Linked DNA regions of Oryzias latipes. The protein of the gene in region 1 purifies or fractionates together with the protein of each later gene. This does not show direct contact. Links are inferred from orthologs where the notes say so. Each region holds a gene or a part of one and is shown on either strand. Other genes may lie near its edges.

What was found.
Region 2: the proteins of ikbkg (region 1) and atm purify together in Homo sapiens (affinity purification with western blotting; 7 studies listed by BioGRID and IntAct, with this or other methods). This does not show direct contact. The link is inferred for Oryzias latipes from reciprocal best matches to the Homo sapiens genes IKBKG and ATM.
Region 3: the proteins of ikbkg (region 1) and sqstm1 purify together in Homo sapiens (affinity purification with western blotting; 3 studies listed by BioGRID and IntAct, with this or other methods). This does not show direct contact. The link is inferred for Oryzias latipes from reciprocal best matches to the Homo sapiens genes IKBKG and SQSTM1.

Annotation. Positions count from the first base shown.
Region 1 is NC_019865.2:4,843,740-4,848,155, reverse strand, and holds part of ikbkg (NF-kappa-B essential modulator), read left to right. Parts: intron 1-68; coding exon 69-116; intron 117-2,173; coding exon 2,174-2,276; intron 2,277-2,356; coding exon 2,357-2,472; intron 2,473-2,547; coding exon 2,548-2,700; intron 2,701-2,776; coding exon 2,777-2,849; intron 2,850-2,934; coding exon 2,935-3,069; intron 3,070-4,187; coding exon 4,188-4,324; intron 4,325-4,403; coding exon 4,404-4,416. UniProt on the Homo sapiens protein: Regulatory subunit of the IKK core complex which phosphorylates inhibitors of NF-kappa-B thus leading to the dissociation of the inhibitor/NF-kappa-B complex and ultimately the degradation of the inhibitor.
Region 2 is NC_019871.2:24,879,898-24,884,313, forward strand, and holds part of atm (serine-protein kinase ATM), read left to right. Parts: intron 1-169; coding exon 170-334; intron 335-437; coding exon 438-603; intron 604-675; coding exon 676-914; intron 915-1,092; coding exon 1,093-1,262; intron 1,263-1,896; coding exon 1,897-2,075; intron 2,076-2,171; coding exon 2,172-2,543; intron 2,544-2,656; coding exon 2,657-2,860; intron 2,861-2,976; coding exon 2,977-3,078; intron 3,079-3,240; coding exon 3,241-3,466; intron 3,467-3,536; coding exon 3,537-3,668; intron 3,669-4,416.
Region 3 is NC_019868.2:3,816,900-3,821,415, reverse strand, and holds sqstm1 (sequestosome-1), read left to right. Parts: upstream 1-1,754; coding exon 1,755-1,923; intron 1,924-2,360; coding exon 2,361-2,456; intron 2,457-2,549; coding exon 2,550-2,818; intron 2,819-2,944; coding exon 2,945-3,089; intron 3,090-3,161; coding exon 3,162-3,230; intron 3,231-3,299; coding exon 3,300-3,436; intron 3,437-3,510; coding exon 3,511-3,775; intron 3,776-3,850; coding exon 3,851-4,011; 3' UTR 4,012-4,125; downstream 4,126-4,516. Other genes in the region: mrnip (MRN complex-interacting protein), read right to left, coding at 4,295-4,504. UniProt on the Homo sapiens protein: Molecular adapter required for selective macroautophagy (aggrephagy) by acting as a bridge between polyubiquitinated proteins and autophagosomes.

The DNA.
Region 1 (4,416 bases):
TCACATGCTTCTTTGGATCCACTTGAGATGTGCTCGTCTCCTTTCTCATCTTCTTGTCCCTTTTCCAGCTCTAGCCTGGCTAAGCTCACACAGCAGCTTCAGGCCACGCAGGGCAGGTGAGCCGGCGCCCTGTTTGGCTTTCTCTGTCTCCATATCTGCATGCTGCTCTACTGTCCCTCAACCAAACCTACTTTCCTCTGTTTGCTTGTAAATGAAAATGTTTATAGAATTTAAATTAGGGGAGTGACGATAACCGCATCACCGCACTTTTTTTTTGTTTAAAGTTTTTTACGGTTTATTACGGTTCTCTTTCACTCCGTAACACAGAACGCGTACTGTTAGATTTCGATGAAAATCACTACATGTTTTGTTTGGGAACTATTTTGTGCTGCGCAAAGTTACGTTTCTGTATAAACAAAGGCGGAGCCTCCTGCCCCGTGTTCTTCATGGGTATCAGGCGACACCGCGCCCCCTGCTGGTTCATCACCGCAGTGATCAAAAATCCCACACCGTCACAGCTCTAATTTAAATATTTTGTTATGAATCTTTTTTTCATGTGAATCACCATCACAAGCTGACACAGCTTTTCTCTAAATCTTTTTCATGTTCCTGAAATTATTACAGAGGCTACATATGTCACACAAAGGGCTTTACATATTATTATTATGAAAAATATTTAACTCAGAAGCCAAAAGCAAAAAAAGTACAATACAGCCCCTCTGAGCCCCCAACAGGCAACGTTATGAAACACAAAATGATAAATGAATTAAGATGGGAGGTACAAATCTGGCATGTTATTGAAGTGGGGACTTGAACCGGAGATGCAGCCCGGAGATGATATTGATCTATAAAAACAGTCATATTCATAGAGGACACAAGCACAGGACACCCCACCCCCCCGCCACCCCCGATCAAAGCAAGGAGCCAGACCCAGGAGATCCCCGTTCACTAAGGAGGCGTCATCGCTGGAACAAAACATGAAACATAAAAGTAAAGATAAAAGTAAAGATCAATAAATAAACTTTAAAGAATAGGTATAAGCACTGATATGGAATTAAATAGATTTAGAAATAAATAAATAAATGGAAACAAATAAGTATGAATACATAAAATAATGTAAATATCAAATGAAGATGTTCCTAAATTTGAGGGTTTTAACCCTGCAAAACCCAACAATTTTCTTCAGGTCTTTTAAAGTTATTTCAACAAATTTGGTTTTTATATTTTAATTTAAGGAAGCGGTATTCAGCAGCCAAAAAAAAAAATATATATATATATAAAAAAGAAATACGATTAAACAAAAACGAAAAAACCGAGGGCCAAATTTAATCATCCCTGAATTAGTGATTTCATATTCTAATGAAACACTAAGGCAATACTTTTTCCTTTCTAGTTTAAACTTCGCTGTCAGATGACAGCTGCAGTTTCCAATTGTACCATTTAGAGGGATTGTAGTTTTAAGACCCTTAAGTGACTTATTTTTCACCTGATTAATGTGAATCTCCTCAAGAAGGGGATGTACACCACAGAGGGAGATCTGTCACACCAGTTCAGACATTTAAAAATGGAGAAGAAAGTGAGATTCAAGCAGTTGAATAGGGAAAATGAAGCAGACCAGAAAAATAAAGATGTTTTTCAACATCAAGGTACTTGTATACTTAAGAACTTTTCGGGCTGTTTTTCAGTTTTTTAAATATTTTTTTTTACTTTCGATTAGTCCTTGAAACTATAAGGAAAACCTAATTATCTTGATAATAAAGTGCAACAACTAGGACTATTGTACTTTTGATGGATCTCTTACTTAAAAATGAATAGGATTTAGATTAGGGGCCTTAAAGGCCGGTGTGCTAAATGTTTTCCAACTAACCTGCCATAGAAGCTCTTTATTGGCTAAACACGCCTGATCCAGGTTATCAGCAGCAGATAAGGCAGGATTTCTGGAAAAGACCAGGAGGATGCTGTTCTTCAAGGCCTGAAGTTTGACCCCCTTGACTTTTAGATGAGTACTGTGGTGACCTCTGAAGAAAGCCGCCAAAAGGCAAAAGACAAATATGAAATTGTTAAATTTCAACCTTATTACTGTGTATCATGAATTCTGAAAACTGTCTGATCTTTCTGGAATCTAGAACCATGTCAAATATAGAAAAGAAATGCTGATGAGTTTGATATCCAGGTATCGTGAGCTGGAGGAGAAGCTGGATTACCTGCAGAAGAGCTCGGCTCAGCGCGACAGAACTGAGGCGCTGCTCAAACAGAAGGAGAAGGACTGCGTGCAGGTATGACGCACACCTGCTGTCCGGCAGCAGCGCTCCACTTCAGAGAACTGTCGACCTCACCTCTCCTTGTGTTTGTGCAGTTGGCCAAAGACTGTGAAGCCCTGAAAGCTCAGGCAACTTCCCTGCTGGGGGAACTACAAGAACGACAGAGCTGCCTGGAGAAGAGCGAGCACGAGCGCAAAATGCTGGAGGAGAAGTAAGCGTCTGACTGAAAAGGACATGAACACGTGGGTAGTAGCCCTCTCATGGGTGGGGGCTTTTCTGTGCACAGGCTAGGCAGTAAGGTGAAGGCGCTGCAGGCGGCGGAGCGGGAGCTGGAGCAGCAGAGGAAGCAGCACCACGTGGCCGTGGACAAGCTGATGCTGCAGTCGCAGAGCCTGGAGCAGGCGCTGAAGGTCGAGAGACACGTGGTCACAGAGGAGAGGTGCAAGCACAGCGCTGCTAAGGATTTATTCCAGGTCTAATCTGTGCAGGACATGAACGTGTTTCTGTTCTGTTAGGAAAAAACTGACACAGCTGCAGCACGCATACACATGTCTGTTCAGAGATTATGACGCCAAGCTGAAGAACGAAGTAAGAAAAATCTCCGTCACCTATATTTTTACCTTGGTTTGCTTTGCTCCTTTCATCCTGATGGTCCTCCTCCCGGTTTCTCCAGGGAGGAGATCTTTCCAGCCGGCTGGATGAGGCAGAGCAGGCGCTGGCCCTGAAGCAGGACCTGATTGACAAACTGAAGGAGGAAGTGGAGCAGCTGAAAGGCTCTCTGGAGACGGTGCCTGTCCTCACTGCGCAGGTGAAATTCTCATCACTGTTTTTCTAGTTAAACTGCAAGTGTTTTGTTACTTCCGTCTAAAATCCCAGACATACGTCTGAAGACTTCTATGGCAGTGGTCCCCAAGCTTTTTCAGGACCGGTATAATGTCAGACAATATAGGCTGAAGTGGGCTGAAGCATCCAGTTTCCCCTTTACTTTGGAGGTAAAGTTTATCTTGATCCTCTGTAAAAATATCTGAGGCTAGCTGCTTTAAACGTTATTTGTACACTAGATGTGATGTAGGAACCATTAAAGTGGGAAATAGATTTTCCCTTAACCCATAACAGTCAAAGTAGAAGCTAAAAAATCAGATGCCAACTTCAGCCTCATCTGACTTTAAAGATGCTGCAGATTAATAAAGGAAATGGCCACCAAAAATGGTATTTAAATAAATATAAATTGAATAGTAAACTAGAATTCACTGAGCAACTTTTATTAGCAGCATCCTTGTAACATTACACAGCTGGGGGGTGGGGGTGGGGGGGCGCTGCTCTAGGAGACCTAATCAAGATCAATTTAAACTAGATAAAAAACCACAGTGTAAATCTTTAAAAAAAATCTTCAAACGCAGAAAAAAAATTGTGTTAATTTGGCAAAAAATGTAAAATAAAAACAAAATGTATATTAATTTCAAATCTAGAAACTCTGATTTGGCGTACAGTAATTATAATCATCACCTCACTTCCTGGTGGTTAATGGGGTCAAAGCCCTATTCCCACGTAAAATTAGGGTCAGCGAAAAAACAAAAAGTCGGAATTGAAACTATAAACCAAGTACTGAAAAAACAAAATAACAAAAATAGAAAAGACAAGAAATGTCTCATTTTTCGCTTTTAAATTGCCACATTTCAGCTCTGAAATTTCAAAAAGTCGTGACAGGAAAATTCATGAGAATTTATGAAATCTAGGTCACCAAAAGAAGCCAAGTCAGTCTCATTAAAATGCACTAATCTTTAAATCTGACAATTTTACAGGCACATGGTTGTGGAAATAAAAAAGAAATACATTTCTTTTCACAGAATGATTTAAAAGGAATAAAGACACACACACATCTTCAGCTTTGTTTTCTTTTTTGTTTTTTGCATTATTTTTCTCCAGGCTGAGATCTACAAAGCAGATTTCCTCGCAGAGCGAGAAGCCCGCGAGAAACTGAACCAGAAAAAGGAGGAGCTGCAGGATCAGCTGAATCAAGCCAAGACTGAAATCGACAGACTCAACTTGGAAGCAACATCACGGTAACAAAACCTGGACAGCAGGGATGTTGAACATGGAAAATGGCCTGTATGGAACTTACGTCTTTCTCTCACACTTCAGAGCACGCATGGAG
Region 2 (4,416 bases), on another chromosome or scaffold:
ACATTGATTTTGGTTGAAAACGGCGTAGTCATAATTATATCATCATATTATATGACCACTGGGAACGCTTTAAAAATACATCAAAAGATGATCGGAGTGGGGCTTGAAGGAAAGCTTTTGAGTAGACGCTAGTCAGAATTTGGTTTTTACGTATTTATTCTTTTTGCAGGCGGGCCTCGTCTGAATTGCAGTGAGCTGCTGAAACACGTGACAGAGGTTCTGCAGAGCTCCCACTGCTGCACAGCGTACGGAGAAAATTACAGCAGCATCCTTTTAAAGGACATCCTCACCGTCCGCAAGTACTGGTGTGACATCTCTCAGAAGCAGTGGCAGAGTGCGGAAGCATTTTTAACTCCATTTCTGGAAAGTTTTGCTTTGTCAGCTCTATTCTCCAGAATTCTACATATCATTTTCTTGTTCTTTGTTTTTTCTCATAGATCTGTTGGATTTGTACTGTGGCTTTTTTAACTCTTCCTCCAGATCCATCAACCGTGTGTTGCTCAGCAGAGTCATCCACACGTTGGTGCGGGGCTGCTGCACGCAGACCGACGCCTTCACCGACGCTCTGTTCGGCTTTTTCACCAAAGCTCTGCTTAATGCCAGGTGAAATGTCAAATGCAACGTTCTTCAGCTGTGCTGCGGTAAAGTTTCTAAAGTTTCCTCACACACCTGCAGGCAGGAGAAACACCTGCCGGTCTTGGAGCATTTAGTCTCAGCTCTGAACGTCTTCCTGAGGTCGGCGGCCGTCAACTGCAGGATGAGAGCGTGTCGCCTGGGGGAGGAGCTGCTGCCCTCTGTGCTGTATGTGTGGGCAGATATGAGGCCAAGTGCACCACTCAAAGAGGAGATTGTGGACTTTTTGAACCTCCAGATGTGTGTTCACCACCCTAAAGGAGCCAAAACACACGACACAGGTGGAGCAATGTTTCCCATTTATTCCACAAAATTAAAACCACAAGGAAAACTGATGTTTTGAATTAGAAGAGAATGTAGAAATAGTAAGACATGTTTCGTAAACACATTTAATCAAGTATGTTGGCTCCAACTGCAATGGGCACAAAGCCAGTGTTTGTTGGGTTCTTGTTGCTGTAGGTGCTCACGCTGAAGACTGGACGAGGTGGCGTGGTCTGCTGTACAGCCTGTACGACTCCTTGGTCAGAGAGATCAGCCAGATAGGCAGCAGAGGGAAGTACGCCACAGGGAGCCGACACGTAGCTGTCAAAGACAATCTGATCGAGCTCACGGCTGACATCTGTCACCAGGTAAGCAGTTGCTGCTCCTATTTCCAGATCAATCATGAAGTCCAGTCTGTTGGAAAAGCATTGTTGTTTTGACCCAAGCCTAAAAGAGAAGCCTGTGTTGTTTTCTAGGACATAGTTTCTGCAGAGCAGGAGTAGTTCATTAGAAATTCACCTCTGAGCTGTGGGCGGGACGGTTGGCGTGGAGCCTGCTCCCCTTCCCTGTTACTGAGAGCTCTCTGCTTATGCGCTAGCTTACAGCCCCTCACACCCAAGGCCTAACATTGGCACTGCTACACAAAATTTCGACCAATATTGAAATTATCCAGCCGTACAGTTTTGATCCAGATTCAAGCTCAGACGAGGAAAAAGACTTACATTGATCTATTTGTCTACACAAGGATGCATCAGATACGGCGCCCAGCGTATTTTCCACGTCACTTTCTAACAGAGTGTTTTCTTCTGCTGCTGATCCACAACTATTTTAATAAAGAAATACTCAGAAAATGCTCTTTAAGCTTAATTTTCTGTCTACACCTCCTCCATCATGTAAGAAACACCACAAACAACATTTTTATCATAGTGGGTCTTTAAGCAAGTTTTGTCTATCCTCTTTTTTTTTTTGTTTCAATAATCCTTTGCTGCTGGTTTGCTGTAGCTGTTCACTGATGACAGTGGGAGCCATACGTTGGAGGTCACGCAGGCCCCCCACAGGGCCACGCAGATGGGAAGTCCCTCCCACGGTGCAGCCAGTAAACGTCGGCGCATTGAAATGGGCTGGGAAGTGCTCCTCGAACGTCTGCAGCCTCAATCCGATGACTTTGACATCATCCCTTGGTATTCATTTCACAAATCTGTTACAATTAAAAAAAAACTCTACAACCGGACAAAATGCCCCGAAAAGTTTCTCAAGCATGTATTCTCTGTCTTTAGGTTGCAGATTACCTCAGTGCTCACCTGTAAGTACTCGTCTACGGTGCCCAGGCGGGAGCTGGTTCCACTGCTGTCGGCGTTGCACCAGCTCCTAGCAGAGCAGCGCAGAGGTGAGAGGAGCCTGTACGTGCTGCGCTGCCTCAGGGAGGTGGCACTCTGCCAGGCCCGCTGCCCACACAAAGCCCAGGCCCACAAGGCGGAGCTTGACCGGCTCTGGGCTCGCATTTGGGCCCTCGGTGTGCGAGGTGTCGGCTCACCCCACACAGAGTCTCTCAGCCTGGATCTGCTGGCCTCCATTGTGCACGGCGGGCTGGTGAATGTCGACCGAGAGTTCTGGAAACTCTTCTCTGGGTCTGCATGCAAGCCATCCAAGTGAGTTATTTGTTTTAATGTGCAAAAAACAACGATTTAATACATTTTAAGTTGATAAAATTGAAATGTTTTAAAGCATCATCAGTCCTTTTTCTCTTTTTTTTTATGTACAGGAGTTCTGCTCTTTGTCTTACCCACACAATCCTCAAGTGTCCTGTCCCAAAAAGTGTCACGTCGAGCTCCATCTGGGACTCTTTGGGAGCTACAGAGGGATCTCCATCCCCTTTTTTGAAAGAAAATCTTATTGCTTGGCTGCTGCTGAGCAACCAGAATGATGAGACCGAGGACAGCAGCAGGCCTCATCCAATCATCTGCAGGTCCCTGCTGTCGCGTAGTCACCACTATCTTTTTCTTTTTTATCCCGTAGAAAATATGCTTTTAATTATATTTTGGTTTCTTCTCTCTGAATTAAATATTTTTTTTTCTGTTGCAGAGATTTTCCTCATAATCTGATAGCAAATATTTTGGTCTCACTGACACTGAAAGACACAAGAGTTGGCTTGAAGTTCCTACTGGGTACAGAGGGAGTTGCAAGGTAAAAAAAAACAAAAAAACAAAGTCTTTGTAATTTCCAATTATATGCATTAGTGTCCACACAGCTGTTTCCTGAAAGCTGAAGTCTTCTAAACCTTTAGTTGCTTTTGCAACCCTGCAGTGACCTTCTGGAAGTGTGAATAACTGCTGTTTTTGTCTGTAGCGGCTCTTCTCGAGACCAAGTAGCATCCGAGGCCAAAGAAAACCTGGAGGAGATTGAGACACTCTACCTGCACTTTAGCTTTAATGCGTCAGAGATCCCAGCACGCGCCAACGAGCCGGCGCCGTCAGCCGACTGTCAGTTTCCCGCCGTCCTCGGCCTCCGAAACAAGCTGGAGCAGCTTGTGCTTTCTGTGGCGGACAGCCTGCTCAACTGTTATTCTCCTGATGTGAGTAGAGGCTTTATTTATTTATTGTGTCTGCTGGTTTGGTCAGAAACTCCTATTTTGAACCCGGCAGTCTCCGTCCGTTCCTCCGGAGTGCTTGGTGCGCTGTTGTGCTCTGCTGATTGGTGTTCTGGCGGGCTACGTCTCTACGGGATGTGTGACTCAGGACGAGGCCTGCTGCTCCCGGCTCTTCACTAAAGCAAAGGTGCAGTGGTTCCTCTCATCTTGCCTTCTTCCTATGGGGGTAAATCATCTTAAAGTGAATTAAAAAAACAGTATGTAAGTTTAAAAAAAATGAGAAAATTTTTAAACTCAAAAGTATGCATTGTAAACGTGATCATTTGAAACTTGGATTAAAAGAAATACCATCAACCTGAAGCTGTTACCAAATGAAAAATGATTTTTATTTTAACAGCCGCTATTTTATATTATCTCTTTTTTCTTTTTCTCTCTGTCTCTTTAGTTTACTGTTTCAATTCAGAATTTTTGCTTTCGGTGCTAAGCCTAACTTTACTTTAGGGGTGGGGCTTTCAGCTATGATTGACATCACGGGACAGAGCTCATGGTGACGTCATTGCCCCACCAAAACAGCGTCTGCTGTGTCATCCCTCCTCTGATCTACCAAACCTCGCGAGCATTTTATCCCTACTGTGCGCCGCATCATAGTGGATAAAACCAAAGTGGAAAATGAAAAACAGCAGCTTTTACAAACAAACATTGTTTTTCAATTTAGGTTTACTTATTTTTTTTTTCAAATTCAAGTTTCAAATTGACCTATTATTAAATTTTAAAACAAGTTTGAAATATAAATATCATTTAATTTACAATTGTACATTTTTTTCTTCTTCAACTATACACTGTATGTTTTTGAAAGTACAATCTGTTTTGTCGTTCACTTTAAGCTGGTCCTGATTTGACCCCCTATCTTCCTGTCAAATGAGATATTTGTTTCT
Region 3 (4,516 bases), on another chromosome or scaffold:
TGGTTACAGCTTTGGAGAAAAGCTCTGAAGTGTCTGCATTGAATGTCAACAGTGATCTAGACAGAACAAAGACGAGATCACACCCACCCTAACAAAGAAACAGGAAGTCAGACTCTTCTTAAGATAAGAAACAGGTGAAAGTCAGACTCTTTGATCGTCACACTCTTCATCTGTGAAACTGTGGGAGCTTCAGATAAACGGAAGGTTTTGGGTTCCAGGTCACTAAGGTTCCAGGCTGCAGTCCTGCAGAGGTGAGCCTCTCTCAGGTCTTCAGGGTTGATGTGGTTTCTCAGGGAACCACCTTCCATGACTTCACGGTTTTTTCCTCAGTGGTCATTGAACTGGTTTTACTGACTTCATGTGACTGTGAGTCATTGTCAGCTGATTGGCTCAGGACGGTGGGTGACATCACCACAAAGGCGTGCATGAAGGCAGAGTACACAAACACACAACAGTACACACAACTGAACAAAGCATGCAAATTCCCCATGTTGGTGAATTAATCATTAAGATTTGAAGAGAAGACCTAAAGGTGGACAGAATATCAGGAGATTTCCTCATAAACATTGACTATGAATTTATCATTACTGGTAGTTTACAGATGTAATCCATTTACTACACTTCTGAAAATTGTTTTTCTTTTTTTCCCTCTGAATAGGAAAAATAACTGAAGAATTTTAGACATCAACTCCCTCTCAGTGATCCAGGACAAATAATGGTAGACATGAAAAATGCTTACAGTTAACTAATCATGAGTATTTACTAGAATACAATATATTAGTCTTCATGCAGCTATTTTAACCTTCCATTAGGTCTCTTTGGCTTTAAACAAAAAACCCTGATGATTTCAATAAACAATGGCGTTGTAGTTTTGGTTTATTTATTTAAGTAAAGTTGTATCTTAGGTTTAGATTGTTCACTTGTCTTCGATGTTATAAGGCCTGATTATTTATTATTATTTTCTTGTGACAAACTTTTTTCCTTTTGACTTGGAAGTAATCTCTAAAACAATAATAATTTTAAAGAATAAATATTACATTATAACATTAACAAGAATAACATAAAAATGTAGGCTCCTCCTTGAACAGCTGAGAAAAAATGAATTACAAATTTCAAAAACATATAACGTTTTTTTTCTCCAAAAGAAAAAATCTAATGAAGTTTAACTGTTTTAAGGAAAAAAATTCCAATGTTAAATGAATTATTTATTTAAAATAACTGACATTTTATGGTTAGTTACTAATTTCTCTTTAATGAACTTCCATAGTTTTAAATTGAAAAGATTAAATTTTTTCCCTTGTTTAGTCTGAAACACTAAAAGTACTGAAGCAGTCTAGAACTTTCCTACTAATTCTAGAAGGATCCATTCCGATGGGCCACAGGTTTGATAAACACAGGAGGACGTCTCTAGGCGATTCATCGTTTCCGTGTTTTCATGGCCGCAGTCTGCCTTCTCACGGTGACTCCGCGATGTGTGTGAACTGTCTGCTGGGATCCTGATCACGTGACACACAAGACGGCCTCTGATTGGACCTCTGGAACCGGCGTTCCTTTTACACGGACCAATCCGCGGCTGCGCAACTGTTAACAGAATCACGTCACCTGCGGAAGTAAACATAAAAGAGGCTGAAATTTATCGCTGCGTCACAAACTGGGATTTTTCTTGGACTGTTCAAGTGACGGTTTTGCGTCTGTGTCTCGGTCCTGCTCCCGGTGTCAGAACTTTGTGGTTCGGAGTCCACAGCAGCAGCAGCATGTCTGTGACGGTGAAGGCTTACCTTCTGGGGAAGGACGAGCATGTGAAGGAGATCCGCCGCTTCGCGGTGGACCAGGACGTGTCCTGCAACTTCGAATATCTCAGCAAGAAAACCGCGGCGGTCTTCTCCAACCTGATGAACTCCTCCTTCAACCTCTTCTACAAAGGTGAGCCGCATGGGCCGGGTCAGACAGAGCCGGGATCCGCTGGGTCTGATCGGAACCGTCATACTCACTAACCTGGAACCGAACTTTTTGTCAATACTTTATTAAACAGCCGCAGTAACGCGGAAGACCAACTTAGAGAAACATTCGAGTATATAGAAGGACTGTAGACATTTGAATCTGTACAAACATAATCCGCCCACTGACTTATTTAAGAAACAGCTAATTTAAAGGGATTGCTGTCACGTGACGCATGTAGCCACGCCCACAAATTTCTGTCCTTTGATTTGTGCGCAATTGAAAATATTCAGTTGATCAGGAGGCCCGAAGTTTAGACCCCCCCCCCCCCCCCACACCCACACACAAACACAGGCGGAGTAGGTGGGACCTTATGACGTAGAGGGGAGGAGCTTCAGGTGTGATTCCGGTTTATATTTCAGATGAGGATGGAGATTTGGTGGCCTTTTCTTCTGATGATGAGCTGATGATGGGCCTGGGCTGCGTGAAGGACTCCACCTTCCGCCTCTACATCAAAGGTAAATGCACGGCCTCCTGTGTGAGATCAGAGTGACCTCCCAGCAGTCCTCCCTCACGGTTTTTTTTTTTTTTTTCTTCCTGAACTCTGACAGAGAAGAAGGAGCACCGCCGTGATTTCCCACTGCATGCCCTACCCCCTTTCATGTTTGGACACCCACCACCCCATGGCCCCCCTCATGCTCCACATCACGGCCCTCCCCCCGCCCTGCACCCTAACGTCACCTGTGACGGCTGTGAAGGGCCGGTTGTGGGAATGCGGTTCAAGTGCTCCGTTTGTCCCGACTACGACCTTTGCTCCACCTGCCAGGCTCAAGGGAAGCACACTGAGCACGCTTTGCTGCCCATCTGGCACCCCCTGCAGGTGAGTTACTCCATCTAACCATCTAATCGTCTTTCCACTTCTGTCTGGACATCGTGCTGATTTAAAAGAAAGGACTTTTTGGTCAAAGCCAAAATGCACTGACTGAACCAGAAACTGTGTCTGCAGTGGTTTCCCCGTGGAAAGTGGATGAAGAGAATGAGACACTGCATGTGGAACCAGAACCAGAATCAAAACCAAAACCCAGAGCAGCAGGAACAGCAGGACCAGCCAAGGCCATCAGCATCTTCGGGTGACGGTGGAGAACCATCAGGTGAGAGAAACTCAAAAAACGTTTGAGCCTAGGGCATTAACATGCTCCCACCTTAACCTCTGACCTCTGCAGCTTCCCAGGCTAGTGTGGACTTCCTGAAGAACATTGGGGAGGGGGTTGCCGCCATGTTGAGCCCCCTGGGTGAGTGTACATAGTGGAGTTGCTGTTTTTGGGGGACAGGCAGGAAGTGATGTCATGATTTCCATGCAGGAATCGACGTGGACATTGATGTTGAGCATGACGGGCAGAGGTCGAAGGTGAATCCACCCACTCAGGCTGGAGGGGGGGATGACAATGTGGCAATGGATGTAAACGAAGGGGAGTCTGCAACTGCTGAGAGGTCAAAGGTCAGTCTGTGTTCACTGATCAATGACTGAAATGAACGTGTCAACAACTGACCCTCGTCCCCACGTACACGCAGGCAAGCCGGGACTCTGACGAGGAGTGGACTCACCTGAGCTCCAAAGAGGTGGACCCGTCCACGGGGGAGCTGCAATCCTTAGACCCCAAGAACCACGAGTGCGAGCTGCCGTCGGGAGGGCAGCAGGGGCCCCCGTCGGGAGGGCAGCAGCCGTCGGTAGGGCAGCAGGGGCCCCCGTCGGGAGGGAAGCAGGGGCCCCCGTCGGGAGGGCAGCAGGGGCCAACAGGTCTGCGGGAGGCTGCGCTGTACCCCCACCTGCCTCAAGGTGAGTCTAGTTCTCACAAGTATCATTTGCTATGACTGTTGCCCTCTTGTAAGCTCCTCCCTCTGCCCCCCACAGAGGCGGACCCCCACTTGGTGGAGTCTCTGGCTCAGATGCTGTCGATGGGCTTCACTGATGAGGGGGGCTGGCTCACCAGACTCCTCCAGGCCAAAAACTTTGACATTGGAGCGGCTCTGGACGCCATCCAGTACGCCAAGCAGCCCCGCCCACCACAGTGACCGCACCAGCTGCTTTATTTAACCTGAGTTTCTATCTGTTCAACTGTTAATCAACTCCTTAACCTGTTTCTGTCTTTTATTAATCTGTTTCTGAACAATAAAAACATGAAGGAATCCGAGTGGGTGGAGTCTTGATACACACCTGTACTGCCAAGTGCACAGCAGGCTGCTTTTGAGAACCAAAACAGTCCAAATGAAACACTAAATGTAATTTTATATCACCTGTTTCCACGGCAACACCTCCACCAGCAGCACACTTGAACCAGACTACACATAGGAGCTGCTAGAAGTCAATACTGAAGTCTTCCTCAGTTTCGAACAGGGAGGAAACACTGAGTCCTGGGTGGGGCATGTTGGGGGCTTGACTCCGCCCACAAGCTGGAGGCTCCTCCTCTTGGATTTCGGAATCAGATTTGAGAGAGCAGGCTGAGCTAAAGGCGCGGGGATGGAAGTGAGCTTCATCAGCAGAACGTCTCATTGCTGGACCAATCAGCTGCAGATAAAG